4 linked regions of the Lonchura striata genome follow. The protein of the gene in region 1 interacts with the protein of each later gene in a biochemical or structural test. Links are inferred from orthologs where the notes say so. Each region holds a gene or a part of one and is shown on either strand. Other genes may lie near its edges.

Region 1 (7,560 bases):
CAGGCTGCAAAAAGATGGGACTTAAGCTGTGAGTCAGACTAAAAAGATTCCCAAGAACATCCTCCAAGGACCTTAATTACCCAATGCTTTATCTTTGAGTCACATATTAATGATAAAATCCTTAAAATTTGGCACATATCTCAGTGATTTGTATTGGTCTGTAGATTTCACAGTACAGTTTTTATATATTTTCAAGCTATTTTCAGCTCTTAGGAAACTTTTTGCATTGTATGGCACGCCTTTTTAAAAATGGTACAAGTGATTTTCAATTAATTGACTTTCAGCATTCAATTTCAACTTCAATTCAATCTGAACTAAATCAGTAGCATTCCCAAAGTCAAAGTGAATGATCTGAACTGCCATCCAGTTGCTTGGTTTCTGCCATAACCCTGCGTAGTATCCTTACTCCGTGCAGCTGTGGTTCCATATTACATCTATGCAGGCTTGTGTTCTGAATCCCACAGTAGCAATGTTTTAACTTGCTAATTGTTGGTATCACAGGTGATCTTTGTTGTTATCTGTGGAAAAGGCTTGAAGTTCTTACAACTGCAAGAAACAGAATTCTGGTAGCTAAGGCGTTTGTTTTCAAGAAAAGCTTTGTTCAGTGAAACTACTTAGATCACAGCTGAGCTGCCTTGTTAGAATTCCTGCCTGGGAAGCACAGTAAAGAACTGTTGAGACCTTATTTCTGAGGTACCTGCTAAGATGCCCCAAAACAAGACAACATAAGGGGTATTTTTGTTTGTTTTGGGTTTTTTTTTTTGTCTGGGAGGACAGCTGGCCTAACTGATATCTTGGAAGAAGTCCTACGTACCTGAAACCAGCAGGTAGTTTAAACTTAAAAATGTCTTTTTAATACTTTCTTTGCCTGGAAGACTGACATGAGGAGTCTCTATTTAAAAAAGCACCTGCATGGCTTAATCAAGTTCAACTCATATATTCATCTGTACAAGTAGGTTCTAGCCATACACAGCAAGTGTTTATACTGCAAAATGCTGTAGATAGTCTCTCTAAAGTGGTTTTACATTAGATGTCACATCCTGTCTTCCACTGATTTCTGTTGCCCCTGTTCAGGCTATCTTAGCTTATAGCGCTGCAGCATTTCCCCCACCTCTTCCTGTCCATCCACTGATAGCTGCTGTCCCACTATGCATGGAAAACTGGTAACAGATGTTGCCATACATTTATTTTCAGTTTTGGGAAAGGTACAACTTAGGCCAGTCAACTGGAATGAAAAGCCGTCAAATTGAAATAATTTGACTGTTTGAAAAGTATGCTTACAAGGCTCCAAGCAGAAACCGGCAAGCAGTGTGCATCTGGTAGGCCTCTCAAAAATACTAGACCAATAAGTCAAAGACCTAGATGTGATGTTCTGACATTTTGATTCTACACTTTCAAATACATTAGGATAGAACACTATATTATACCTTAAATTTGTCTCTTTTTGCTGAAGCATCGTCAACAGGAACACTTAAAATCCCACATATTAACCTATTATTACTAACAGCCTAAGCAGTAATAATGTAAGCATTATCTTACCTATGTGGAATAAGACCTAAAAAAGAGCTGTCACTTATCAAATGTGAACAAAAAGGCATGTCAGCCCTTTCCCTGGAAAGCTTCAGCTTTCTTGAAACAACTGAAAGTTAGCATCTTTACCTACGCTATGAATTATTTCAAAAGCAGGAAGGCAATAGTTCAGTTAGTTAACTATCATGGTACTTCATTTATTAAATTGGGATTTATTAAATAATAATATTTAATAGTATTTAATGACAATGCCATTGATGTTGAAAACAGGAAATGCCCTTTTTGAAACAGGTGCAGAGTAGTGCCTACCTTTTTGCTTTTTCTCTTCTGTAGTCTTGATGATTTTCTTTCCAGACCAGTCTGGGTTTGTGTTTCCTGTGTCTCTGCTCTGATCTCTCTGTCCTACTTGTAGCACCACTTGAGGGGGTGGAGCGTGCTGATGGAGCTGGGCCATGGGGCGTGCTGTCCGCATCCCACCCCTTCCCGAGCATCTAGGGGATGGTCCAAGCAGGCGGCTGGCATCCGGATTGTTGGGGAGGGAGCCCTGTGCAGGACGGGAGGAAAGCTACTTGCTGGAATGCTGCTGGATTTTACAGCCAGTTTGTTTTGTTCTTTCTCTTTTCCAGTCAGAGAGCAGATTTAGTTCTCAAAACAATCTCTTCCCCATTGAATACCTTATTGTTCAATGACAAAATAGTATGTATCCCTTACAACGAACTGTCCTGTCCCATTATACTTCTAGGAGTATGAATGAATGCACAGCTGTATTATTTATAATATAATCAGAAGTCTGCTGTATGTAGACTTAGTCCTAATAACAAGAAACTCCTGTTTCACACACAAGTGTAGTGTGCTGTGTTCCTAATGAAAATGTTTGGCAGATGTGAGAACCACAGCCTTGCTCTGGGGTCTCATATGGTGGTGAAATTCCTCCTCCAACCCGTGCTTCCAAAGAAAAACTCCACAGGCTTTAGCTGTTCAGTCTCAAGGCAGTTTATTGCTAGTTATCTAACAGATTATGTTCTTGGACTGCGGCTATTTGATCAGCGGCCTGGGTAGAGGCACACACACACCCTGACATCCTCTCTATCTGCTGTCTTCTTCGTCTCTCTCCCCGCCCAGGGCTGCTGCTATCTTTTATATGATATATTACGTATTACATGTTTATAGTTTTCCCCCAATACCTACTACCTATATTACAAAGTGCTTTTCTACTGTAAACCAATCTGTGACTGCCAACATGACCAAGAACATGGAGGCAAGGAAAAAGAAGGAGGAAGAACAGGATCAGCCCACTTTCCTCCATCTTAGAACTTCTGACCCCCATGTACAAAGTGAAAACCCCCCTGTATATGTGCTAAAACCCCCCTTTACAATACTAAAAAAAAATTCCCCTCTACTTTGTAATTACTTTTACTATACTATCTAACCTTTTGTGACTGCTTGTTCCACCTCCAAAGCTGGCAACTCACCCCATGGCCCCAACTCAAAGTTACAGCTGTTTTTCAGCTGTCTGCCAGGGTCTAGAATGCCTCTGACTAAGGCTTGGAACCTCTAAAAATGTTTGAGAGACATTTTGAGTTCCCACAGGCAGAGAGGCCTTGACCCAATTGTGGAGCAAAGCATGCCCTGAACAGAGCCACAGGAGAAGAAACAGGGGAGTTTTCAAGTTAAATGAGCAAAACTTCTTAGAACTTTAGATACAAATAAGGAACAGCATGTTGAGGGCCAGAGTTAAATGTTCACTGATATTACTCACCCTAGAAAATGAAGATCTACTTACCAGAATGTGGTCATGAGTATTCAGTTATCAAAGCGTGGCAGACAAATGTGATTAACTTAGGGCACTGTTATGAAAACAGTCATTGCTGCAATTGTTACAGTGATGAATGTGTCGTACCTGCTTGGAACTGATACACTAGCAATCAAGCTCCTGACAGAATCTAGTATAAGATGTAAGAACCAGTATGTGGAGTGAGTGACTTCTATTTTAAGAAGCAGGTGCATAGAGACCTCGTTTGGAAAACACAGCACTGGTTATTTTGCATAATGGTAAAGATGAAACACCCGTACTCTATCTGTGTGGAGATCTATGTCAAGATTATAAAATTTATTTCTCCAAGAGTCACAGTGCTAGTGATAACATTACTGCCATAAATCTGATGTGTAGCTGCATTTGACTGTTTCTGGAAGGGACTTCCAGTTGTTGAGATTGAACACTGCTGAGAGAGCAGGGGCTAATTTATTTTATTTTTTAAGATACTAGCCATTTGATTTCTAGATTAAGGATGCTAACAAACTGATGGCCATGGGGGAAGATTTCAGAAATTACTTCCTGGCTTTTCAGAGCTTAAGGACAACTATAATTGTCTACAGACTGTGGTGCCATTGTAGGGCTTAACATATTTTAGGAAAGCCAGCAATAAAGTGTCTGCTCTCTCAAGCACCACCTACTGGATTTTCTCTACGTTGATCCTTGGGATAATTTCAGCAGGACTATTTAATGGCAGTGACGAAGTGTGACAGCATGACATCCCACAGTAGGCCCATGTCACCTCGGCGGGACCCTCTCTGGCCGGTGGCTTTGGCAGGTCCAGCGCAGGCGACTGGAGTTGTGGCAGATCTTGGAGAGCAGTTTCCACCCCCGTACTGTTGTGCATCTTTGCAGTGGTATTAAAGCAACTCACGCCAGCCAGCCCAGAAGGAAGAAATAGCCAAACCCGATGTAAAGCCAGAATAGCGCTTTGGCTCGGGCGGTGCGGTGGGAAAAGCAAATGGTGCGTTCCGGATTGGCAGATCTTGGAGATGCTGCGGGCAGAAGACGGCAACTCTTTAATTTTACTTACACAGTCCACGAGCTGTTCTCGCCTCTCATCCCGAGCCCCTGACTCCACGCGGTATCGCGGCCACGGCGATCGCGACTCCGCCGTTCCTCGCCGGGGCGGCCCCGAGCGGGCCGAGCGCCGGCCCGGCGCGGCCCCTGGAAGGGCGGGCGCTGGCGCCGGAGCCGGAAGCGCAGGTCCCGCGGAGCGGAGCCGGGCCCGCCATGAGCCGCCCGCCCGCGCTGCAGGCGCTGACCTGCGGGCCCTGGGAGATGCGGGAGCGCCTCGGCACCGGCGGTTTCGGCAACGTCATCCGCTGGCACAACAAGGTAGGCGGTAGCCGGGCCCGCGGCGCCCCGGCTCCGGACCCGGTCTCAGCCCACCCTTACTATGTCCACAGGAAACCGGCGAGCAGGTGGCCATCAAGCAGTGCCGGCAGGAGCTGAGCCCGCGCAACCGCGACCGCTGGGCGCTGGAAATACAGATCATGAAGAGGTGAGGCGGGGCGGCGGTGTTCTCGGGCCGAGGCCGGTGCCCGCGTGGGCCGGGCCGGGCGGAGGGGTCGCTGCGCGGTGTCGCGTCGGTGCCCCGGGACGCGTGGCGGAGGCGGCCCTGGAGCGCGGATCTGACGGGTGCGCTGAGGGAAATGGTGGGAGAGGCTTTCGGCCGCTGGCCGCCAAGGGATCCCCTTCCGGGAGGTGCCCGGTCCGCTCGGCGGCAGGTGGGTGGAAGTTCACGCGTAAGAAAACTTCATACGGTGCTGCGTGAGACTCTTGGGTTTCACACTGCCGTCTTCGGCTCGTCTGCTGTGCCCTCAGCGCTACAACAACGCTGCTACCTAGCCGCTGCTTTGCTTGCCTTAACGTCTGTCCCTTGGGGTGTTGGATTAGCATTTTCGGGTGTAGTGGTCTGATTGCAGTTTGGGTCTTTTCTGGACGGTGGCAACAGACTGCCTTGCACTCCTTGCAAGAGTTGTTGCTGTACCTTCTAGACAGATCTGTAATGCATGTGTGTTGAAGAAACACACTGTCTTGCACGTGAAATGCTAGGAGTTTGAATGAGGCTAGATCCGTGAAATATGCAAACCTTCAGAATTCACTCATTTAATTTCTAAAAGGATTTGTGATCACTTTAGGTGATGACCAGGAGCATGTGAAATTGTATAGCAGTTGCAGAACATCATGCCTACTTGCCTAATTTTTGTTCCGCAGACTGAACCATCCCAATGTGGTGGCTGCCCGCGATGTCCCTGAAGGGATGCAGAAGCTCGCACCAAATGACTTGCCACTGTTGGCCATGGAGTACTGCCAAGGGGGAGACCTCCGCAAGGTGAGGTCCCTGGGGTGGTAACCAAGGAATGGGTCAGCTTCTAATCTTATCCTGGGTTTTCTGTTCTCTTAGAACCTTTGCTTTCACATCCTGAGGCTTCCTAATTCTATCATGGCATCACCAGTTGTTGGTGGATTGGTCCTTGATACTATGTTCAGCTTTTGAAGACTTAAGTGCTTTGTGAAACTCTTTTGGTTTTTTGGATGCAAGTGACACTGTGAGGAGTTTGCACATAAATAATGAGGGCAAGTGTAAGGGATGTGCAACAGAATATGAGTATGGCCAAGACCATTGTAGGGTAGGTGCATCTGTAGGCTGTACCCTTCCTTAAAGTGATTAACTCTTGTCTGTTGTAGGAAGAAATAACACATGATAGTTCTAATCCTAAGGCTTTTCTGACCTTTGCTGTAATCTGCCCATAGCTAAAACACAGACTTTAGGCCTCATATTGGAGTTGATATTGGCAGGCACAGGGGAAATGGCAAAGAGGGATGGAACAAACAGAAGGATTAGAATGGGATGACAGTGACTTTTCACCTACTCCTTTATTCTCCCATGCAATTAAGCTAAGGCTGATTTAATTATGAAGCTGTAATTGCTGCTGTCACAGGTCACACCCCATAGAATTTTGTGCTTCTGGAGAATTTAATTGCTGTTGCTGAAATTTCTTGTATCCCTGAGAATTTGCGGGACTGTGGGCTTCACTCAGGATAGAGGAAGGAAAGACTGCATTTTGTGTTGCTTACTTGCAGTACCTGAACCAGCTGGAGAATTGCTGTGGCTTGCGGGAAGAAGCTATTCTTATCTTGTTATCTGACATTGGTAAGTGGTAGCCTTCAGTTGTCTGAGCTATAGAAACCTTTTTAGTCCTGAATCAACTCTCCAAATATACAGCAGTGACCTTAGTGACTCAGTTTTAGACTGACCTTTTATGATCTTGATCATCTACCAAAAGTGTTGGGAGTCTGGGGAGGTCCTTGCCTACTGGAAGCTAGCCAGTGTTACTACAGTTTAAAGGAAGAATGTGGGGGAACATTCAGAGAGAGAACTCAGTTTGTGTCCAGAGTTCTATGATGCTAACTTTACACCTTACACTTAGTGTTTCATGGTATGTTTCATTGTACAAGGTTTGATGTGAAAGCCATAAATAGAACCGAGTCCTTACTGATCTTGTCTAGGTACTGTTACTTATGCTCTTAAAATTTCCTTTATGTGTGTCTCAGCTTCTGCTCTCAGATACCTTCATGAGAACAGGATCATCCACAGAGACTTGAAACCAGAGAACATTGTGCTGCAGCAAGGAGAACAAAGGGTAAGCAGGAAGCAGTTGTCTCTGCCTGCACAGACAAGTAAGCTTATAAGGAGCATGCATGTGCTTCATGCAGTTACATGGTCCCTCTGCAAGAGCACTCAGCCCAGGATAACACCTGTCTCAGGCCACTATGTCAGATGAATAGTATTCTGTGTGCAGCTAAGACATTGTATTAGACATCTGTTAACACCTGACATTTCGACTTTCAGCTATTAAGGAGAGAGCCACACTGTACTGATTGACCTAAGATTGGAAGGAACTAGACACATAACTGCTAAGTGTGCTATGACACCTTCAAATTCATTGTGGCTTAAGGAATCTACAGTAGCCTCCCATTTCTACTTCTGCCTCTTCACTAGCACCTTTCCTGTATAGCTTTGAAGAGCTGAACATTTTCTTTCTGCTGTATGATGTGCTTTTAACAGGATTTCGGTCTAGCACTCTTATTCTCTGTTGTGTGTTTCAGTTAATACACAAAATCATTGACCTTGGTTATGCTAAGGAGTTGGATCAGGGTAGCCTATGCACATCCTTTGTTGGGACTCTGCAGTACTTGGTAAGAAAGGA
Region 2 (7,655 bases), on another chromosome or scaffold:
GTAGCAAATTTCAAATTACTTGACTTATGTTTACCCTTAAGGCATAACAACAAAAGCAGTTTAAATTGATACAGTACATCTCATCCCTAAGGATCCCCAGAAATGCAACCAATTGATAAACATCCCACAGTTCATGCAGAGAAATACAGACCTTCCCAGAGATGCAATGCATCAGTTTAAGCCTTGCTAAAAATAAGCTGAAGTCAAAAAATAAAAGCAGACTAGAAGACTAGACTAAAAGCCAACCAGAACTCTAGATCCATTAGACTCTGGTCAGGACACTCCAGCTAATTATATTTTTATGTCCGTGGCACATGGGTAGGACTTTAAATGTCCTAATTTGGACCTTGGCTTTATGTGCCAAAAATTACCCTGCAGACTATTTACTTGGATATCATACCAGCTTAAATAAGGTGCAGAAATGCTTCCTACTGCATCCACCATTCTGCTCTTTGGAGTCTATGAGCAACCCAAAATAGCCTCTGATGAAAAGATTTGAGAAGGTAGGAATACAGGCCACATGGCACATGTGACTACCTTTTGCCTTCATCCTGGCTGACAAAAATTGACTTTGCATAACTTTCCTTTCTCTCTTTTGGCTGTTTTTTTTTAAGCTTTCAAATTAGTTACTTATTATTAGAAAGCAGGAGGGAAATATGTTTTCCTTGTTTACCATTGGACTAATTGTTCGGAGCTGCCTGGTTCTTATCTCTGTAGCAGCTGTAAATGGGCAACTGAGATATGTGGATTTTAACTGCAAAATATTATCAAAATTACAATGTCAAATGTCCCCTGGCTTCCCTTGGACCAGCAAAGTCCATAGACTTTTGAAGCAACAAACCAGAGTCCTATTCCAAGGGGTATCTGCACGTGCACATGCAAGTACAGACAGCAGGTCTACTTCACTGATTTGTTTTGCTTTTGGCTTTAACATCCTGGGCCAAGATCTTGCTGGATGTTGTTAACTGATAAATTTCCTGATACATTTCATGGGAGCCACATACGGTCTTTGCGATTAAATGAGAGGAATCAGTTAACGGGTATCTGCAGCAGCAGTCACAAAAGGATGAAGTTGTGGGACCAACTCTGGTAAATCAACAGCACTAGATGGTTGTCATGATTAGTGTGGCAATCAGGAAATTACAATTTAATGTGTTTGCTGGAGGAAGCAGCAAGAATTCTTCACGTAGTTTTAAAACAGATTAAAACCCTACAGCCCCTTCTCAGTATCCAGACACTTGAGGCTGCTTCTCAGAGCCCTGCCAGTTGCTTTCTGCAAGGTAGAATAAAAACAAACATCACATCTCTACAGCACCACAGCCTTGCCAATTGAGTGCTCAGGGCGCCTAAAGTGGAGGTGGCTTTTGTAAAACGTAGCTCTTAGGTATGAGCTGCAAAACCACCTCCCGTGGTTACAGTTTTTACATTGTTAAAGTAACTTTTAGGTAGTCCTTTGGCATTGAAGTACCTGCTGGACCAGGCAGCAGAGACTGCTAACATAATCCCAAATTAGAAATGCAGAGAATATTAATCTCCTCTCAAAATGACAAGCACAGAAAACACTTCTCTGAAATTAATGCAGACATAGCAGAGGTATTAAACCAGAATACACAAGCAGACAAAGAAGGTTCAGGTTGACACAGATGACTGCAGTGGTTATGAAGTTTTGCTCCTTTTTCATCAGGGTTCATGAAGTTTTGCTACCATTTCAGCAGGGCCAGCCCCTGTCCCTGGATAGGTACAGCTGCTCCATCTCCTGGGGGCCTGTCTGAGCTCCCCAGAAAGGCAACACTTGGGTGAGAGGCAACACAGGAAACTAGGTTTGTGATAGGCTCCACCCTATATCCAAAAAGCTGAGCTTATTTCTTTCTATTCTTTTTCTCTTGTGGACCATACAGAAAATTGCATAGAAGAACTGCTTGAACGTGATAATTTAAATAAATAAATAAATAAATGAAAATAAAAAGGAGAGTACTTCAACAGCACAAAGCAGGACCGATGACCTTCACCACTCCAACACCTTTGCTTTATGCTATCCTCTATTATGTCATCCCTTCAGGCAAGTATTGTACGACTGTGCTGACTGCGAGGAGTTACAGGGAAGACAACAGCCTTATTTGCTTAATTGATAATGAGGTCTCCACTGGCCTCTGCATCTGCAGCTAGCTGCTGCTTTGCATATGGGTTTAGGGCAAAATCCCTTCTCCAGCCTGCTTTTCGTTGCCTAATACCCAGGTTACTGGCCCATGTGTTGGCCCCCCCATGACATCTAGGGCCAGGCTGCAGAGCATCAGCATCTCCCTGAGGCAGGAAGTGGGCTGGCCTCAGCGTGACTTTCCATCCAGAAAACATTTTCCATCAGCTTTCTGCCACCTACAACTGGCTGCAGTACTGCCAAGTTAAAACACACACAAAATAAAAGCATCTCGTGTGCCTCTGAAAAGAGGCTGCTTGCAAATGCTTGCTAAAAATAGCCCTGTGGTGGCCTGTGAGGGCAGCTGGAGGTCTCTTATAGAAGGAGGCAAAGAATTCCCTTTGCTGATGTTAGTTTACAGCCATCACAGCTAGGACAGGAGTTTTCAAGTTTAATGTCTGTGTAGTTCTAGCAAAATCCCAATTGCACAGAGCAAGGTCCTTGCTGAGCTCAATTCCCCTGCTAGTCAGAACAGTCAGCTTGCTTTTCAACTCCCTTCTTCCTTTTCTGAAGAGGTGCGGATAGGACGAGATTCATTTGTTAATTAAATTTCCCCTGCCAATTTACATTAGAAAGGGGGAACTGTTTCAAAAAGCTCGCGAAACTTTCATAACCTTTAACTTTAAAAAGAAAGAATTTTACAGCTTTTTTCTAAACCTGCCCAAAAGCACCACTGGATTGTCCCAGGCCAAGTGATGAATACTGAAAAGAAGTCCAGGAATGGCACAGCTGGGCTGAAAATTAGAAACACTTGCTCACAGAAAGACAGGCATTCTTCCTCTCCTCTGGCTCTTTCGTTTTCTTTGGATTTTCCCCTAAGTTCTAAGTTCAAAGGGATGCCATCCCATGGGAAAATGACAAAAGGAAAAAAAGTACAGACTCTGTTACTCAGTGAGGCCAGCAATAGTTGCAAGAGAAGAAAAATTCTTCCTGGGAATCCCCTACATCTGAGAAGCAGAAGCAAAAATTCACCAGGAAAAAAATCACTGCCATCAGCTCTGCAGACAGACAATGCCTTTTATCCATGTGGGATCCTGCATTTATCCAGTTTTTATTACCCACGGATGGCATAACAGCAGTAAAAAAAAAAAAAAAAAAAAAAAAAAGGCAAAAAGCAGAGCAGAGTCACTAGGAATAGCCAGAGAAAGTAAGAAGAGTGGCTGAAAATGTAATTTCTTCTTTAAAAGGTTTGTTTTGTTATGGAGTGAAAACTTCCACAGCAGAGATGCAAAATCCTCTAAATGCTGAGGCAACACCTGCACACTTGCAGGCATGGCAGCGTAACACCCATCATGTGCAATACTGCCTGAATCCCTCCAAGAAGCGACACTCCTCACCAAGCAGGGCAGATGCAGTGCACTGATGCAGTAGCAGCCTCAGCATTGCTCTGCTGGTGCTTGATTCGCTGACATTTTACCATGACTTTGCTGCCCTGGGTTTGCTAAAAAGCTTGCTCCTCATCGTTAGGTAAGTGCTGGTTAATGAACTCCGAAGGTGGTCCCTCTCATCAGACTTCAAAACGATCCTCACAAGGCTCAGGGATGTCATTGTGCAGACTGTGCAAGAACGAGGTGCCGTGCTGCACCGCACCTTGTGGGTGATGGAGCTTCTAGGAGTGTCAATGCTTACGGCGAGACTCCCGGCAGGACCACACCGCAGCCCTGCAGTGCTTGAGGGCAGCCTATAAAAACAGATAGGGACAGCCTTTGTAGCCGGGCCTGCTGCCACAGGACAAAGGGCAAGGGATTAAAACAGAAGGAAGGTCAATTTAGGTTAGATATAAGGAAGAAGATTTTCTACAATGAGGGTGGTGAACCCTCTGGGCAGCCTCTTACTGCTAGAGATTGCCCAGAAAGGTGGTGGATGCCCATCCCTGGAAAAATTAAAGGTCAGGTTGGATGGGGTTCTTATGCAGTTGGAAGATGTTCCTGCTCATGGCAGAGGTGTTGGTCTGGATGGGCCTTTATTTTCTCCTAAACTGTTTTTCGAAGGAATGGCATGCCATGGGAAAATGACAAAATGGAAAAGAAAGCAGAAACCCTCAGTCAGAAATAGTTGCCAGACAAGGGAAAAACCCTTGTTTTCTGAACCCTTCCAACCCAAATTACTCTGATTCCGTGATCCCGCAGTCCCTCTTAGGAAAGTTGCGGAATGTCAGGGGGGACGCGGGGTGCACTGAGGCGCCCCTCGGCCTCCAAGGGGCCCCGCAGCGCGCCCGGACCCCGAGGAGCGGCGGGACCGGCCGGGGAGGAGGCGTCGGAGCGCCGGGACCGGGCAGGGTAGGGCAGGGAAATCCCCGCGGGGCGCGGCAGGGAAGTACCGCCGGGGACGCCGGAGCGGCGAGAACTTCCCCCCTGGAAAAACGCCAAGTTCCCTCTCGGCCCGGCCTCTTCCCTCCCCTCCGACGCCCCTTCTGGGCGGCCCGAGCCGCTCCGCCCGCCCTGCCAGCGCCGGCGGCGCCGAGCAGGACCGGACCCGTCGGTCGGGCTTTGAGTGGCTGGAAATTCCCGTCCTCCGCGGCTCCTCCCCCGCAGAAATCCCCCGGGCCGCGCGGTATATGCGAGCCGCCGCCGCCGCCGCCGCTCACTCGCAGCGCCCGCGCTCCGCCGCCATGATCGCCGCTCGCCGCGCCGCCGAGCCGCCCGCCATGGACGGCTACGAGCAGCCCAAGAAGGAGCGCCAGGGCGCCTTCCCGCTCGACGACCGCCACGACAGCGGCCTGGACTCCATGAAGGAGGAGGAGTACCGGCAGCTGGTGAAGGAGCTGGAGGACATACGGCTGCAGCCCCGCGAGCCGCCCGCCTGGGCGCAGCAGCTGACGGAGGACGGGGACACGTAAGTGCGGCCGAAGCCGGGGCAGGGGCGGCTCGGACGCGGCGGGGAGCCCGCCCGGCCGGCGCGGGACAGGATGTGCTGGCCGGCGGGGCGGCGCCGCGCCGGCAGCGAAGGGAGGGGGTGCGGAAAGTCCCTGGAGCGGCGCCAGCGAGAGGCGGCTCCGCGGCCGCGGAAAGCCCCGGCCGCGCCGAAAGCCCCGGCTTGCGACACCCGCGCCGGAGCCGGGCCGGGCCGCCGGGCGCGGGGCTTAGCCTGCCGTCGGGGGGATAACGCGTGTCGCTTAATGAGTGCTTTTTTCCCCCTGCAGTTTTCTCCACTTGGCCATTATTCACGAGGAAAAAGCCCTGAGCCTGGAGGTGATCCAGCAGGCAGCCGGTGACCGGGCTTTCCTGAACTTCCAGAACAACCTCAGCCAGGTACTTTCACCTCCATAACCCCAAATCTGGATCAGCCCCTGCCACACCCACACACTCCTTCTGGGGAATTCCCCCAAAAAAGTCCCTTTAATTTTTTTTTTTTTTTTTTTAATTGATGGAATCAATTGAATCAAAGCCTACGTTCAGGAAAGTCCCCAGCTGGCTCCAGCCAGTATTGGTACAATGCTTCCTCTCCCCTGGGAGAGTGGCATTTAACGCCCACATTTTTCAAATATGATGCCATGGGTTGCATCCCTCTTTATGGAGATGTTAATGATACCCTTCATACCAGCTGGCGGTTGGTTTATCCAGAGAGCCCAAAGTTCATCACTTCCAGATGAATGGGCAACTATACAGCAACTTGGGAAGCATAAAGAACTGAGTTCTGGGTGTGCTTTCATGCTTTTATTTGTTGGCACAAATCACAAAGTGAACAAGAGGTCTGCTTGTCCAGACGTTGGTGCCAAGTTTGTGGTGTAACTTACAATCTGCTTTTGCTCTTATGCTTGCAGACTCCTCTTCACCTGGCAGTGATAACTGATCAGTCTGAAATTGCCGAGCATCTTCTGAAGGCCGGATGCGACCTGGAAATCAGGGACTTCCGAGGAAACACCCCCCTGCACATCGCCTGCCAGCAGGGCTCCCTCAGGAGCGTCAGCGTGCTCACGCAGTACTGCCAGGCACACCACCTCCTCGCTGTCCTGCAGGCAGCCAACTACAATGGTACGGCCACACTCCTGAACACTTCGTCTTGGTGTGCTGCACTGCGGGTAGGGTCGGTCTCCTGTGATCTCAAAGATCTCTGGAGAGGTGGAGAAGGATTATTATGTCCCATTTGAGAGTTGAGGAGCCCAAAGCAGTGTCTGACTTTTTTGAAGTGAACTTTCTTATAGGCCTTCTCACTGTTGATTATAGTCTCTCATGGCTTTCAACTTTGCATCTTTAGTGACTGCCTTTGCTGTGCACCTTCTTTTTTGTTAGTAACAAGTTGCACTCAAACACTGTAATAAAGCCTCCAAGAAATCTTTTCAAAATCCAACCCTCTTATTTATACTGGAAGCTAGAAAGCTCTTCTGGAAAACACCGTTTTGACATTGCAAATTTAGATTTCATCCTGGCCTATCATCTTGCCTTTTAAGTAATGATGAGGCATTGAGTTAGACTTACTCAAGTTTTCCCTTTGTTTGTGTCTTCCAGGACATACGTGTCTTCATTTAGCATCTATCCAAGGATACCTGGCTATTGTCGAGTATCTGCTGTCCTTGGGAGCAGATGTAAATGCACAGGTATGTAATGTGTACCATGAATTTAACTCAGTGGGGCTCTTAATCAGTAGATTGGAATCAGCAGTAGTCTTACAAAACAGCAGATCTGACAATGGCTCTGCTCTCCTAACATGCTGAACCTTACACTGTTTTCACACAGGAGCCATGCAATGGCAGAACAGCACTACACTTGGCGGTCGATCTGCAGAATTCAGAACTCGTGTCGCTTTTGGTGAAACATGGGGCAGACGTGAACAAAGTGACCTATCAGGGCTATTCCCCCTATCAACTCACATGGGGCAGAGACAACTCAAGCATACAGGAACAGCTGAAGCAGCTGACCACAGCTGACCTGCAGATGTTGCCAGAAAGTGAGGATGAGGAGAGCAGTGAATCGGAGCCTGAATTCACAGAGGATGAAGTAAGTAGCTGTTTTCATTTTTACAAGAGAAAGGGGAAAATTCTGTTCTGTGCAGGGTATTTTTTGGTGCCACTCTGATAGCTTGCCCCAGTGACCTCTTGCTGTGTAACAGATAGCTATACCAAAGATTACGCAATCAGCAAAATGGCAGATGAGGCAAGCATGTAAATGGAGTAAGAATAAAATGTAAAAAATAGCACGAGGGAATGGAGGTTAATTTCATGCAACGGTTCTCTGAACACAGTTCTGTTGCTGACACAGAACCTCATGAGAGAAAATTCAAGTTAGTGGGTGGTTTTCTCCTCCCTATAATTTGTTTTTCTGACATTCTGAGTGCTGCATTAAATGGCGTATGTAACCATTTTGGTGTAGAAATTTTATACACTGCTGAAGAATTTGTATGTAGAATTTGGCTGTTATCCCAGAATGGATATGATACTTCAAGTAAGATTTTTGCATTAACAACAGCATTTTGGGTTTTTTTTTTTCTTGCAGCTTATATATGATGACTGCCTTATTGGAGG
Region 3 (7,942 bases), on another chromosome or scaffold:
ATCAAACACATGCATAGTAAAATAGAGAGCACTTCTGTTGAACTAAATTTTGTGTTGTTTCCCCTGTTTTAGTTTTGAAGATGCTCCTGCCGTGTCACATCGATTTTGATTTTACTCCAACTCCTTCATAACAATTGTCTCTATGGTTTACTTCATTTTAAGCACTTGAAATAACAAAAAGGCATTATGATGGTGGAGATATGTTTGACTGGTGGGAAGTAACACTACAGCTGGTCATGTGCACAGTAGCTAAAGGAAAATATGTTAATTCTTGGTTTTATCTCAGTAGAGTTCAGACAAAACTAAATGAAAAGTGTACTTATAGATTTCACGTTTATTAGCAAGGTCTCTGGGCCTGCAAGTATTCCAGAACTTCAACATCTATTAATAAACCAGTGTCAGAGTGGGACTGCTATCTGCTGACAAGACAGCCTTGATAATACAACAGCAAAGCTATGATTATAAAAGCAGTTGAGTTTCCAATGTAGATCTCTTAACACTCCATTTTGAAACATTTGAAGTTTGCCAAGCATAAATATGACAATTTTGAGACGTTTTTGAGACATACAGCCACTTAAAATCCTTGAAAACCTCTGAGCCTAAAGTGAGAGCACAGAAAATCCTCAGCAAGGATGTGTGTTTTGATGTGACTACAAAGTTGACTATTTGTGCTGAAACTGCATCCTGAGTAAGAGGTCAACACCCATAGCTCAGAAAAGCAAGACCTAAGTATGATTTCCAATCCATCTGTTTTCTTGTAAAGTAGGTCTTATTTCTTCCTCTGTGCAAAGACATTTGACTGTGTTTAACACTAGGGTATTCCCATTGTCTATAAGAACTTCTGGGAGGACAGGTTAACTCAAAACGATATGCCAGCTTTAACAAGATTTTTTTATGGAGACACTATCAAAGTTCTATTCTCTTGCTTATATCACATGAGTTTTGCATCTCTACGAAGATACTGTGTTGAGAATAACAAAACAACTGTATTAAACAAATTTTTACTTAGGCATTGTCTCTAGATACATTTTTGTACTGACAATCCTGTTTCTGCCAGTACCAGGCACATGTGTGGGACAGTCAATCTCTGAGCACTAAACCTTAGAATACTAAACTCTAGTTACACCAATTACACACTATGCAGCTCCACGTTTCCTACATGTAAAACAGCAATACAATCCTTGCTAACAACCTCCCCAAGTGTGTTGTGAGGATTAAAGATTTGTATAGCACTTTATTAATTCAAAGGGCTACATCTAACACAGCAGATGTGGCACTCACTTCCGTGAGCCATCACTGGGCACCTTTTTACAATGGATAACCAGCTTAAACTTTCTTCATTGGGTGAGAAATGCTATTTCTCCCAAAATAGGCTATTTGATCCCCAGCTATTACTAAGTGTTACAAAAACAACAAAATTACTTCACTTCAGAATAGTTAAATGCATAAAGGCAGGTAGAACAACTTGACTTACAAAAACAAAAGTCTTTATGGTTGCCAAATTCACAGAAAAAGATAAAGGCAGTATTTTGAAATATACTGTCTTCTGAAAATTCCCAGCACCCAGTGCCTGCTATGGTGAAAGCCGAAGTTATCACAACACTGCCTGAATACAGCAGAAGGTGCCCTGGTGCCCCATGGCAGATTTTAAGGTCCCTGAATTATCCTCAGGAGACCCAAGCCTAGTAGGATAATTATAAACAAACCAGTATCTAGCAAACTACTCTAAAAACCTGAGACACAGGTTATCATACCTAGAAAAGCTACTACACAAAACTCCACTTCCACACAAACTTTTTAAGGAAAACAGGGTAATTATCTCTTAAAGAGAAAAATGTTAATCTATAAAAAAAGCACAGGGACTGTTTCAGCAGTCCAGACTCTACAAGCTGGACTCATCAAATTTGTTATAGATCTACATGAAGAGACTTTATTCCTGTAGAGAATTCAGTAGGTGACAGGAAAAAACAGCAGAAATATTTTTGTGTACTTCTGAGAGTCAAACAACACTGTAGTATATAGAGACTACTGAGCCTGTTATCAAAGCATATGAGCTACCCTAGATCACACCCCCCCTACTTTCACATGAACCCGACAGATGAAAGGTACACCTGAAATAATTTCACTATGTGAATTTCACAGAAGAAAAACTTCCAACTTTGTTATAAAATTACTGAATGTGACTTCCTTAAATATCCATGAGTGCAACATAACTAGCCCATGTTAAGAAAAAAAAACCCTGTTTATCGTAACAGCTCACAGAGCTGTAAATTTAGCAAATCATTAAGAGCAGCATGATCGTTATATACACAATGGCTCAGTTTGGTGGCAGAAGGTGAAAGCAGGGCCATAGAGAAATAGAGATCTAAAAGAAACATTAGAGTTAACAGTTCCCTCTTGACAACTATGCTTGCCACCCATACTAAAGTGGGTGGCAAAATGGGAGGCGAAACTTTAAAGTCCTGACTGAATAAATCTATCCCGTTTAAACAAAACTCCACAGTAAGGCATCCAGCAGCAGGTCCGGCAGAAGTAAGCTGGCACCTCCGCTCTCAGCCAGCCAGACCGCTTTGTTCGCTGGTGCCAGCCGCAGTAGCATCCACAGGAGCAGAGAACCCCCGGTCAGGTACTGGGGGGGTCTGGCACCCCGGAGCACCCGCGAAGCCCCCGCGGACCCTCCCGCAGCCGAGGGCCGGCGCCAGGGAGGGGAACCCCGGGGGCGCTCGGGGTCTGCGTGGCGGGGCCAGGCTGGCCGCGCCCGGGGAGCGAGGGGCACGGCGGGACCCTCACTCACCTCTTCCACCTCGATCTCTTTGTAGTCGATTTCTTCGAAGTTGAGGACCGGGGGGGTTTCAATCATTTCAGCGGAGGCGGCAGCAGACATGCCTCCTCTTTCACCGCAGGGAGGAGAGGGGGCCGGGGCTACGCGAGGGTCCGGCACCAGGCAGCCGAGGGCCGGAGCCGGGGCTACGCGGGGCTCGGCGGCGGTTCCCGGCGCAGGTCGGGGCGGGCCTGGCCGAGGCGCCGCCGGGGCCGCATCCGCGGCGGCCTCGGGCCTCACTGGCGGCGGGCACAGGCCCCGGCGCCGCCGCTGCGCATCCCGAGCCCTCCCGCACCCCCGCGGGGCGCCGCGCCGACTGCCCTAGGCCGCGGCCTCCGAGCAGCTCGGGACCGCCGCGGCCGCGCGTCCGCGGGCGAGAGAAGGCGGCGCCCCCGGGGCCGCAGCCGCGCTCCTCCGCCAGCCCCGGCGGCGGCAGCGGGAGAGGGGCCGCGGCGGGGGTGGGGGAGCCGCTCAGAGCCGCGCCGCGGCCGCCGCCGCTGACATCAGAGCCGCTTCCTGCTGCCCCGGCCGAGGAGGGAGGGACGGAGTGAAAGAGCGGGGAAGGGAGGGAGGGAGGGAGCGCCAGGCGGGGGCGGGCGGGAAGCGCCGGCAGCAGCGGCCTCTCGGGCGGCCGCGGCGGGGCCACGGCCTGGCGGCGGCACCGCCCCCGCCGCGCCCCGCCGCCGCCGCCAGGGGGAGCAGCCGCGGCCCCGGGCCGGCCCCGCTTCCTGTTCCTGCCGCCGGGGATGGGCCCGGCGGGGTCCGGGCAGCTGCCAGGCGCGGCCCCGTCCCGGGCTGCGTGTACCGCCCTGCGAGCGCGGGGGCCTGTTCCCTACATACATACGCACATGCCTTTTTCCTGGGTGTGTGCCTGTATTTCTCCAGGGCAGCAGGTGCTGTACGGCGTCTTGGGACGAGGGCAGGCCTTGTGCTCTTCAGCGGTGCTTTCTCAGGGGAAACCTGTGTGTAGGAGGGCAGCTGAGGAGTGGGGGTAATGGAGCGGTTGATGTAAACAGATAGTAGTACTAAAGGGATGGGGGATGAACGTACACCTTAACCGCTCCCTCTCCAAGGGAGTCCTGTCCGCTCTTTGCCAGGGCTGTATCCTGCTCCTGTTTTTGGCTGGAGCACCCACCCCATTAGTGTTTCGGTGGGAAATGTCTGAGACTGACGCTTCAGGGCAGTCCATGGTGTGAAATCAGTGCTGAGATGAGTGAATAGAGCTGCTGTGTTCCCCTGAAACAGCTGTGCTTCATTTTTATATGTTTAGCCTTCAGGCTATATATAAAAAGTTATGTTATTGTACAATACTATTAATAGTATGTAATTTTAGTACATCTAGTAAGCTTTCCTAGATCTTCCACTGCTAGCATGCTAGTGAATGTCTGTACCTCACAAGGAAGTCTCAAAAATGTAGAGAGATCTGGTTTACAGAGCTAGCCTGAGAAAGTCACTTAAACAGTTAACTAGTAAAAAAAAAAAAAAAAAATCAAGGATGAATATGGGAAGTGACCTAATCTTATGGTGGCTCAGCTGTTGTTAAAAAGCCAAAGTGAAAGTACCTCTATCAGAGCTGCTGCACTTTGTGGCAGGTTGCCATTATGGGTTGTTTGCTCCCCTCTTGTGTTTTTCTGTCAGCTTTTGTAATTTGCACAGGGTTTTCAGATGTACACCAGTCCAGAAATCCCAGCCAAGCAGTCACAGTACATGTTGACTCTGTGGCATGCAAGATGAAACTCGTATGCAGGACTGGTTGGGTTGATGCAATTACATTGCCCAAGCAATCTGCGTATACGTGGCGAGCAGACTCATATGCTGACTGTGCTGAGTTTCTGCTGTTCATTTTTGATTTTCAGATATGGTTTGGTGTAGAAAGATCTAAAGAATCTTCTGTTAGTCCAAGTACCACAAAATCTGGAAGTAGATATCAGCAGATATTAAAATCCGAAGCAGATATTAGACCTGCTTCATCCAGCAGTGGGGTTATTCAGAACCCCTGCTTTTCCAGGTTGTTTATAGGTTTGGATGTTCACACAGACCCTGGCACCACCTTATACCCAGTGAAGTGTTTAATTTTCATTTTTTCAAAAGCCACTATTAGTGCATGTCTTGGTCATGCTGTGACACAGTCATAAAGAGCCATGTTTATACCCGGACTTCACAACTTACAGGAAAGTGTATCACTTGAGTAAGCAGCTGCTGCTGTCTCAGCTGCTGGAGTATGCAATATATTGATTATTGGAAGATGAAGAAAATGGATTTCTGAGGGATTGAGAAAATTGCAAGTTCAATAAAAACCAGACTTTTCAGTCTGGTTCATACTGGCTTCATACTGCTGAATGAATTGCTTTAGTTCTTTAAACACTTGTAGATCAAGACAAGGAACACCTGAAGTCAACTGAAACCAAGGAAAATGCATGAATGAAAAGAAAACAAGGTGTGAAAATCCATCACTGGATACTTGAAATCCATAATCTTGATACTTAGTTGTAGTCATGAACATGCTTTCAGGCCAAAAGCTTAACGTTTTATTTATTTTTTGGGTACATATGCATTGGGAAAGATGAACTACATCAGTACCTTTTAGAAAGATGGCCAAGAGGGTGGTTGTGCTTTAGACGTTGGCAGTTGGTGATCTCTGGTAAATGTAACTGAATATTTGGTTTTTTTGTTATGTTTCACAGACCTCTCCTGAGGGTATGTATCAAGCAAATGGCAGTTGCAGTCTTCTGTTTTTCAGTGGAGAGACTTTTCTGTTACCTTTGTTATACTTTGTTGATGGGTATTAAGACAGCAGAAGAGAGCATTCCAATTATAGTTGCTTGTAAGGTTCATTTCCTTTCAGAAATTGATGTGGAAATATGTATCAAAAATAATGAGCTCTTTCTTTGTGAAGGCAGAATCATCATCATTATCAAAATGTCACTGCTGTGAAGATCAGGAGGGGTTTTAAGGCTGTGGTAATTTTGATATTACTTTTTTTTTTCCTTCTTTCCCGACTGACATAATCTTAATTAGTTACAATTAGCTATTTTGTGGACTGAGTATTGGTTGTGCATCTCCAAAATATTTATTCAACAAATACAGGAGAAAAAGGAAAAGAAAAGCTATATCTGTTGTGTTTATTTTGGACAAAAACTGCTCTTGTGTTTTGGAGAAAAACCTGGAACCTGGGAAATCCACATTCTGGGTCTCAGTAGCCTCTCTCTAACATTGCAAAGTAGTTACACTGCCTGGTGGGTGATCACTTGAAGATTGTTGGAAACATCTGGGTACCATAGCCAGAGTGTGCACACTCAAAGCTGAGACAGCTGCTGTGGAGCTCTTTGTCACACCTGTCCTAGAGTATAGGGCTCTGTTTTTTCAGAAGAGACAGCAGTAGGTCTGATGCAAAATATAAACAAAGTCCACCTGGACAGCTTAACACACCTGAAGTTTAGCCCTAATATCTGCAGATCCTAATGAAAATTTATCCAATATAATATGGAATTGTACAACTTAGAATTTGGACACATTTTCATGAATACAGACAAAAGCACAGATACATTATCCTGGCTACCCTTTGTCTACCTCCCTTAAAGTTACTCTGACAATTTTTAAAGAGGGGTGAAGAAGCATTATTTTCCACTAATTTAGAAAAAAGCTAAGTGATTTCTTCTTTCAAAAGACTTCAACTTTTGTTGTATTTTTAGTATATGCATTTTTTTAAAGTGGTTAAAATGTTTCACTTTAGGTGATTGAAGATTGAAACTAGAAAACAGTGGAACATACTGGATGGTATCTGCAACTGTAATGTCCACATCAAAAAATGTTCCCTTCTAGATTAAGCACAGGAATGTTTCTGCCAAGTCTAACTCTATTTTGTCCCTGTTAAATATTGTCTTGTAAATATGAAGTTACGTTATTTCAATTTGTGGGAACCCTTTGTGATTAAAGAGCATGTCTCCATAGTAGTATGGAGAACACTATGAAACACGTGCCCCACAAATTCATATCCCAGCTAGGAGGCATCCAAGAGGAGCCCACTGCTTGTTCCAATGCAGGTGCAGTGGAAATACCTCATGAAGACAGAACACTGTGACTATATTGAGAGATTTCTGTTTCTCTGCATGGCCAAGTTGTTGCGTAATCCACTCTTCTCATGCAACTCCTTTGGTTTGTACATTAATATTTCCCAAGAGCAGGTTGCAATATTGTGTGTGATTCTACTTTGAATCTCAATGAGTTCTTCAATTATGTCCCGCATTAATCGTTTGCAAAGTCTTGGGAAACATCACAAAGGTGTCTTCTGCCAAATACATTGAGATAGCATGCCCAGCATGCTTCATGTATTTTTATTGCTTCTTTTGCATTCTGGGAAGACTTCCCCACACTATGTAAAATCTCCTAAACAGCTATTAATTCCTTCAGTGGGGGTGTTCCTTATTATTTGTGATAAAATGCATATATTAAAAATACCCTGAAAAAAGCTTTGCAAAATAAATGCGTGAGCTGCTTTGCTAAATAGGAAACTCAGTTGTATGCAAGGAATTGTATTCACTTTAGTAAAAGGAAAAGTTCTATTGTATGAGTATTACAGAAACTCAAATGATCACATTTGTTTCTGAACCTTATTTTGCCTCTTAGTCTGAGATGTGTTAGATCTCCAAGATTTTTCTAGTAGTCTAAACCAAAAAGAGAGCCAGGAAAGTCAAATAATGCAGCCACTGTGCAGTAAGGGCAAAGTAAAGGTGAGAGACTGTATAGATTCAGTCTTGTAACCAAACAAACACATTTTCTCTGGCACAGCTATCATCAGCTGGACTTGGCTTGGGAGAAAGGTAGTAACAAATTTCACATGGAGAAGAAAGAGATAGATGACTGTAGACTGGTTGATCTTGAGCTGAGAAGTCTGAAAGATATGGTACATGAAATTGCTGATGGAAGATGTGTTAAACAGAGGTGTCAATGTAGGTAGCTATAAATTAGCAAAGGTATTTTAGAAAGATGCAAAAACAGATCCAGACATCTAAGTGTCTATTACTCTGCTCTCAGTAGGCTTTAAAATAAAATGTAATGGAGAGAATATTAAAGAGCATGGAAGTAAATAGAATGAACTGTCACATCTTTTTAATCAAAGGT
Region 4 (7,120 bases), on another chromosome or scaffold:
AGAAGACAAGATTGAAGGAAGGGAAAATTATCCTGGAAACTTAACTAATTGATAATTGTACACTGTAATCCCATATGCACTTGCTAAATTTCAGGACATTTCAAGCTCTTGTTTTGATAACATGCCAAAAAAAAAAAAAAGCAGTTAAAGACCATTTCAGATTCTACAGCTCATACATTCTGAGTAGTGATGGTCAGTAGAGTACAGAAAAAGCACAAATAATTGCAGGCTGTGCTAGTATCAGTCTCATACTTACAGTGGCCAGATATGGTAGATGAGGAATTTGTCACTCGAGGACAGGCTTAGGTTACTTTTCTTGAGGCTCTTTTTATTTTGTAAGTGGTAGAGCTATGGCTCAGAAGTGCTTATGCTGGTGTGTGGGGGTGCAGTGCCACTATTACTCAGTGGTAAGTCAACAGAGCATTTCCATTTGGCTCAAAACCCCCTATATATTTCCACAGTAGGACATGTAATGTTTGCTGCTCTGCATCCCTTTCTTCAGTAACTCTGGCCTCATGGGGTATAGCAGGAAAAACAAAAAAAGAAACCCATAACATCTCAAACTTGCTACACTCAAAGAAATCCTTACTTGAGGACACTAACTTTGTGGCTAGTTAGAGCCAAACGTACAGACCACATCCCTCAAAACCCCTGTCCACTACAGTAAGAACAAAAATAACAACAATAACCTGTTTTTACAGGGAGAGACTCTCCATGCTGTCCACAAACATTCTTGCTTTGTTTAAAAGCAAAGCAAAGTTTGTGTCAAGACAAATAAAAGTATGCATGCTTAAAATATTTAGAGTACAACTAGTCATATTAAGAGAATCCGCCACTGTGATTATGAATCTAAGGACAAGTATCAAGTCATATATATGTGTATCAATCTCTGGACATCAAGTACAGGGATACAAGAAACAACCAAAAATTGTTTATGCCACTATTAGGACGTTTTCTCATGGAGACTGGAGTCACGGAGAGAGGAAGAAGCCTGACAAGACTGACCAGGAAGGCATTCCCACGTCTATGGAGGCAGAAGACCCCTCTTGCACAGAAGGGCTTCAGGACCTCCTTCCCCACAGGTAAACAACTGCTCTCTCCTCTTCACCCAGACACCTCCATTGGCAACATCCACCTCCAAATGCCCAGCCAAAGCTTTTGAAAAGACCCTCTCAGGGTGAGAGGGGACCTCAAACTCCAGGTGCCAAGAGCTGAGCTCTATAACCTCTCTGAGAACCAGCTGCTGGAGAGATACAGGATAACACGACAAGCTCTAGAGGCAGATGAAACAGGTGATGCTACAAAGCCCAACTTTAGGGTGATGTCATTCACATGCCCTACGAACACTAGGGACCGTGTGCAGAGCTGTCACATCTTGCAACATATGGAAAAGCTTTTCTTTAGGGAATAAAGATGGCATATTCTTATCATTCCCCCATCAGCACACAGCCTTAAAATGAAAATTGTGTATTTTCTCATCCACTTTCCTCATAAATATAGTTTTACACATGCTATTTATGTAATCCTGTATTTAAATGTATGAATGTGTCTAAAAAGGAAATATAAACAACTCCTTACTAAACTGTGTAATAACCCAGCTCTACTTTGCTCTGAGACGACTAAAATATTGAATTCCTTACTTATGTTAGTAGAAATATTGAGTCAATGGGATTTTTTTTACACTAATAAAGACTAATCACATGACTAAGCACTACCGGCATCACCTCTTGAAATGGTTATTTCCAGCATTAAGTAACAAAAAACACTGAGTTTACAGAAGCAGTCACTGAAACTACATTATTCGATACTATGTTCTACTAGCATTTTTTCCCCTCCACACGTGGAAATTACTGCCTGTGCTATTTACAGTAATAAATGTGAACAAAGGCAAAAGCCAAGCAACACTTATTTTCAAAATCAATGTGATGAAACAAACAGAATTCAACTGACATCTAAGCTGGAGATTTAAAAGTAAAAAACTAACCTACAGTTTTATTAGTTTATAGTCTACTGTGCTTTGCTGTGTGCTATGCTACTTTAACCTTCTCACAAGTAATGACTAGGAATTCCCAGAAAGGAACAGCTGTAAACAATAATTAGAGACAGCATCCTTTCCAAAGGTGTAATGCTGAGGATGCTGGGCTCTGGAAAGAGGAATACTGTTCTGAGATCTGCCGATGGTTTCATAAATTATTTTCATTTTCTGTCCTCTATCTGAAAAACGGCAAGTAATAAACTTCTCCATAAAGTGCTACAAGTGCCTGTGCCTTTGCTCGGCACAAACCAAAACACAGTACTACTCTTTGCCAAATCGGAAGGCGAGGAGCGAGGCTCTTTTAAAGATCCCACAGCACTGGTTTACACGCAGTAAGTGTTCCGCGTTCTTGGTTCCCTGACCTACAACTCCGCTGGGGGCTGGGCGTGCAAGGCGGCACGGCCACGACACGGTGCAGCTCCCAGGAGAAGGAGCCCGGAGCTCCGGGGCGGATTTCCCCGCGGCACCGCAGCACGCTCGGCCGCGCCGTGCCCGCTCTGCGCGCCGGGCCGGGCACGGCGGGCACAGCGTCCCCGCCCGCGCCGGACCCGCCTGGTCCCCGAGGCGCCCTCCTGCAGAAGCGCTCCGGGCTCCGCCGTGCCCTGCCCAGAGCGGCGCTCACCTCTCCGCGGACGGCTCCTCCTCCGGCCGATCCTGCCGCGACTCCTCTCAGCAGCGAGGCTGAGGCGGTGGGACGCAGCCGCGCCCGGAATCCATCAATCCCCACCGCGCCGGAGCTCCTTCTTGCCCTTCTCTCCACCCTCTTCCCGCCGGAGCTGCTGCTGCCGCTGCCGCCGCTGCGGAATGAAGGGCTGAGCCCAGCCTCTTGTTTTTTTCCCTTTCTGTTTAAGCGCCTGGGTGAAAAAAAAAAAAAAAAAAAGGCAAGCAGATTGAAAACACAACACAAAAAACCCCCACCGGGGATTTCCACCGGCAGAGCACAGGGACTTTCCGGCCTGTGACAACACCCGCGGCCGCCGCCGCCAGGGGGCGCCGCCGCCGGGCAGTCCCGGCGCCTCCCCGCCCGCCGTGACTCACCCCCGGGATTTTCGGGAGCCGGGATGCCGTGTCTTCCTTCCTTTTTCCTTTCCTCCCGGGCAGGGGCTTGCCCATCCCGTCCCGCAGGCTTCGCTCCGCTCACGGGCCGGCCCGGTGTCGCGTCGCTGGGTCCGAACAGCTCCTTGTCGCCGCGCAGAGCGGCGCCCCGGCGGTGCCCCGCAGCCCTTCCGCTCACGGGCACGCGTGGCAGCGCCTGCCCCAGCACGGACGGAGCTGTGGGGTGCGGGTGCTCGGGTGTAGCTGCCCGCATCCCTGCCCCAGCATTCCAGCAGCACGTTAAGGGGGCCCGTCCCATGGAAAGTATTGTTCTTCCAGACGGTTTTCAGACCCAAGCAATTTTTTTTTTGTGGGTGTTTTTTTTTTTTTTTTAGCTTGTATGTGCTCCACCGTTTTGGCTCTGTATTGTACGTAACCACAAGTGACTTCATTTCTTCAATTAGAGGTTAGGCCGATATAGAACCCCATAGTCCCAATCTGCTGGTATTTTCGGCAGGAGATGTTAATTGTGTTTTAATTTGGCCCTGCTCAAGGTCAGATTGTTGCAGGTAAAGACCAGAACCGTGGGCTAAAACTATCAAGTTGGGGAGATCTTAAGTGTCTGAATATGATTGTAATTTCTTGACTGCAACTAGTAATTTATAGGAATCATTAAAATTAATTATTGTAAACAATGCACACCTTTAAACAATGTGCTAATATTGTGAAATATTAGCAGTGAAAAAACCTCACTAAACAAACCCCCCATATTTAAGGCCTGTTAATATGATTTATGGATGGGATGTATGCTGGAAAAGGGGCAGTTTCTAGCTCAACAGCCTTACAATCTGAAGGCACACAGAAATGAAATACAGTTTCTTGCAGGATTAAAACACTTCATCTTCCCAGATAATGAGCTCTTGCCTGTTCCTGAGTATCCACCTCTCCCAGTGGCAAGATGAGAAGCCAGGGTTGCTGCACACCTTGAAATCAGGTGTTAAATATAGACTCCTCAGAGAACAGGTGGATTTTGGAAGAGTTCAGCTTTGAACTCCTTCACCTCACTCCCAGTAGCAGCAGCTGGCTCAGATCATTTGCTCATGTCACACAACAGGCTTATGTGGCAACATGATCTTTCCCAGGGTTTACAGGCCTGTGCTGGCTCTGCACAGCAGCCCATCCTTCTCCTCTGCCTTTGTTCAAAAAGAAGTCAGGGATATGGCCAGGAAAAGAATAATCCCTTCCAGGTTTCTTTTCCTCCTCTCCTCGGATAATTTTCTTTTAAAGGTTTTTGTGGGTGTGTTATTTTTTCTTTTTGTTCCCCTAGCCTCTCTATTGTCTTGGAAAGTATAGTTGGGTAGGAAGGCTCCACATTTAATGATTGATAACCTGAAGGGTGGCTAAAATCCAGGGAACTGGATGCCTGAGGGAACTGGGCTTGCATAACTAGGGCAGCATCCCTGCTGTGATTTATACAGTATATATTTCTGTCAGCATCTTACCGGTTCCCTTCTCCTGGACATTTTCCCCTGCTCTCTCATTGGGACTGAGGTAGCAGATTACTGAAGTCATCTGATTAGAGGAAAAAAAAAATGTTTCTATCAAAACATTTCTCTCACATAATATGAAGCCCAGCCCCCGACAGAGTTTTACAGAGAGTACTTCAAATGATGGAGGGCTTCACTGTTGAGTAGGAATGATGAGCTAAGGTAGGGAGTAGGGAAAAAAGAGCTGAGTTGTACCCTGCTTTGTATAGGAAGCTGCAGCAAATAAATTAACAAGTAGACCTAGCCATGATGGAGATGCTGAGACTCAGGAAAACCTGAAAAGGCAACAGCTTATTTTTGGTTTCTAAATGGTAAGCGTGTCTGAATATTAATAATTACTGTTTACACCTTGATAAACTCAAAGTTGATTGCACATTGCTAGAGCAGATGTTTATCAAACAGGTCTGAGCAGGATGGCAGGAATTCATTTGATCTGAGTTTGCACAGCACAAAATAAAGTTCTGTCTTGTCAACCATAACTCCTCAGCAATATAGGAATACATTAGAAACATCAGCAACATCAGTAGTTATAGAATGCATGAATATACATTCCTCTTTTCTGAATGACTCCTGGGTTTTGTTTTTTTTGTAGCTGTACCCTATAGTTTATCTCATAATTTATAGTAAAATGTTTATCTTTCATTAGATATAAACATAGAGACAGATGTATAAAGTCAAGGAAAATTTTCTTCTTTAAAGTGCGTATGTAAATACGCACATATACATACACATAACTATGTACATATGCACATATATTTTTAGGTATATATGCATGTCTGTTTCTCTTGAGGGAAGAGGGAAGTTCTTGGTATTAAGGACAGAATAAGAAATACTTTCATTTTCAGCTATCTACATTCTGGTTAAGCATAAGGGTGAAACAGTCCACCCTTGTAAGTGGTAATGTTTACATAACCCTGGAGAAAGCTGTCACTGGGAATTGCAGAATATCCATTTTTTGTGAAAATTTAAGTAATCAGTTTCATGCACATAAATCAATAACAATTCTTTATTGTACTTGGGAAAAAAAAGAAATCTCTCAAGGCCCCATTCAGCTCTATATCTCTAAATTATTTTAATTACTTTGCTTCTTTTTACTGTTCAGGAAGGAGTAGTTCCCACTCACTAAATTAAACCAAGACCTCAGAGTGTTCAGAACACCATTGCCAAATGTTTGAGAGGCTGCACTAAGAAAGACTCATAGTTAAGATAGTACTCATATAATATTCAATGCTAGGATGATGACTATAGTAATATTTATGCATAGTGACATACAGACTTTTAATAATTCAATCATTTGCTGTGTCTTTTAATATCAGATAATTCTGTATGAGGTGTGATTCATCTAGAAGGGAGGAAAAGGATCATTAAAGGGAAATCCCTTTTAATGCAAGAGCAGTGCTTGAGGTCATGCTTGAGTTCAGCACTTCTGTCTTCCAGGAGCTGTTCCGTTGCTTCTTTTCCTGGTGGAAAAGTGATAAGAGCTTGTCAGTGCAAAGGAAAGAGAGGGGGGAATATCCCCTAAACATTTATCAGACAGAAAGATGGTGCTTATTACTGAATCAAGTATTGACGGTAAAAAAAACAAACAAACAGAACCAAAAAACCCCAAATCATGTCTGCCACTTAGATAGCAAGAGCTGAACTGGTTTTGGGATTTTTTCCATTACACTCATCTGAATCCAGTAAAAGAAACTACAGATTCCAGAGAAGAGGTTTACCAGGGTATTCTGGCAAGTGACTGTACTGGAACTAGGGATTCTTATTTATGGCCCAGGGGGCCAAAGCTTCCTTTGCTTTTTTTTTTTTTTTTTCCCTTTTTGTTGTGTGTGTGCTTATTTTCCCCTTCTTTTTAATATTTGTGAGAGAAGTGTCAGAAGTAAAGGTCTGGAACTGCAGTGGGTTCAAAGAAGCTGAAAGTTCAAATCTTGCCTTAGCCCCTTTTGTTAACCTGAAGGTTAAGCTGTAAGCGTGGTATTCCCCCATTAAGGCTGGTGAAGCACTGTGAAAAATGAGCTATGGAGGCAAGCACTAGACATTTTTAAGAACAGGTTTTTTTACCTGTAAGGGGATTAAGTATGGCATTAACCACACCGTATACTTACCTCCTGGTCTGTAAATAAGTTTCAGCAATGTTGTCTGTGAAGTGCATAAAAAAGTTTAAGCGATTATGATCTTTGTAACTTGTTTTTTATTCCTCTGATATCTGTAGATACTGCAGCAACTCTCAGGGCCCCTAAAAACTGCAGACATAGCTATGTATAGTTGCATTAGAGACAGCAGCACAGTCCAGCGTTACTGACCCTCTTCAGTGCACAGTACAGACAATTCCAACAAGGCGCCAGCAAGAAATAAGAGGAAGACCAATATTATTTCTGTTTTGGAGAGCAAAGTGATTTCAGTAGATTTTGATGCAGACTCAGACTAGACATGTGGCTAAACTGAATATGTACAGCAGTAGTAAGCCAAATCAAAGGTCCATTGACCTCACTGCCTTGTTTCTCAC

Evidence for each region.
Region 2: of the proteins of IKBKB (region 1) and NFKBIA, one has a biochemical effect on the other in vitro, tested with the Homo sapiens proteins (58 studies listed by BioGRID and IntAct, with this or other methods). The link is inferred for Lonchura striata from reciprocal best matches to the Homo sapiens genes IKBKB and NFKBIA.
Region 3: of the proteins of IKBKB (region 1) and MAP3K7, one has a biochemical effect on the other in vitro, tested with the Homo sapiens proteins (5 studies listed by BioGRID). The link is inferred for Lonchura striata from reciprocal best matches to the Homo sapiens genes IKBKB and MAP3K7.
Region 4: of the proteins of IKBKB (region 1) and TNFAIP3, one has a biochemical effect on the other in vitro, tested with the Homo sapiens proteins (2 studies listed by BioGRID and IntAct). The link is inferred for Lonchura striata from reciprocal best matches to the Homo sapiens genes IKBKB and TNFAIP3.

The regions. Positions count from the first base shown.
Region 1 is NC_134634.1:4,929,611-4,937,170, forward strand, and holds the start of IKBKB (inhibitor of nuclear factor kappa-B kinase subunit beta), read left to right. Parts: upstream 1-4,548; 5' UTR 4,549-4,576; coding exon 4,577-4,681; intron 4,682-4,752; coding exon 4,753-4,847; intron 4,848-5,563; coding exon 5,564-5,681; intron 5,682-6,433; coding exon 6,434-6,503; intron 6,504-6,904; coding exon 6,905-6,993; intron 6,994-7,459; coding exon 7,460-7,549; intron 7,550-7,560.
Region 2 is NC_134608.1:25,273,770-25,281,424, forward strand, and holds the start of NFKBIA (NF-kappa-B inhibitor alpha), read left to right. Parts: upstream 1-4,655; 5' UTR 4,656-4,751; coding exon 4,752-5,029; intron 5,030-5,336; coding exon 5,337-5,445; intron 5,446-5,957; coding exon 5,958-6,168; intron 6,169-6,642; coding exon 6,643-6,731; intron 6,732-6,870; coding exon 6,871-7,131; intron 7,132-7,626; coding exon 7,627-7,655. UniProt on the Homo sapiens protein: Inhibits the activity of dimeric NF-kappa-B/REL complexes by trapping REL (RELA/p65 and NFKB1/p50) dimers in the cytoplasm by masking their nuclear localization signals.
Region 3 is NC_134605.1:77,513,631-77,521,572, reverse strand, and holds the start of MAP3K7 (mitogen-activated protein kinase kinase kinase 7), read right to left. Parts: upstream 3,016-7,942; 5' UTR 2,885-3,015; coding exon 2,795-2,884; intron 1-2,794. UniProt on the Homo sapiens protein: Serine/threonine kinase which acts as an essential component of the MAP kinase signal transduction pathway. Plays an important role in the cascades of cellular responses evoked by changes in the environment.
Region 4 is NC_134605.1:51,072,761-51,079,880, reverse strand, and holds the start of TNFAIP3 (tumor necrosis factor alpha-induced protein 3), read right to left. Parts: upstream 3,013-7,120; 5' UTR 2,658-3,012; intron 1-2,657. UniProt on the Homo sapiens protein: Ubiquitin-editing enzyme that contains both ubiquitin ligase and deubiquitinase activities.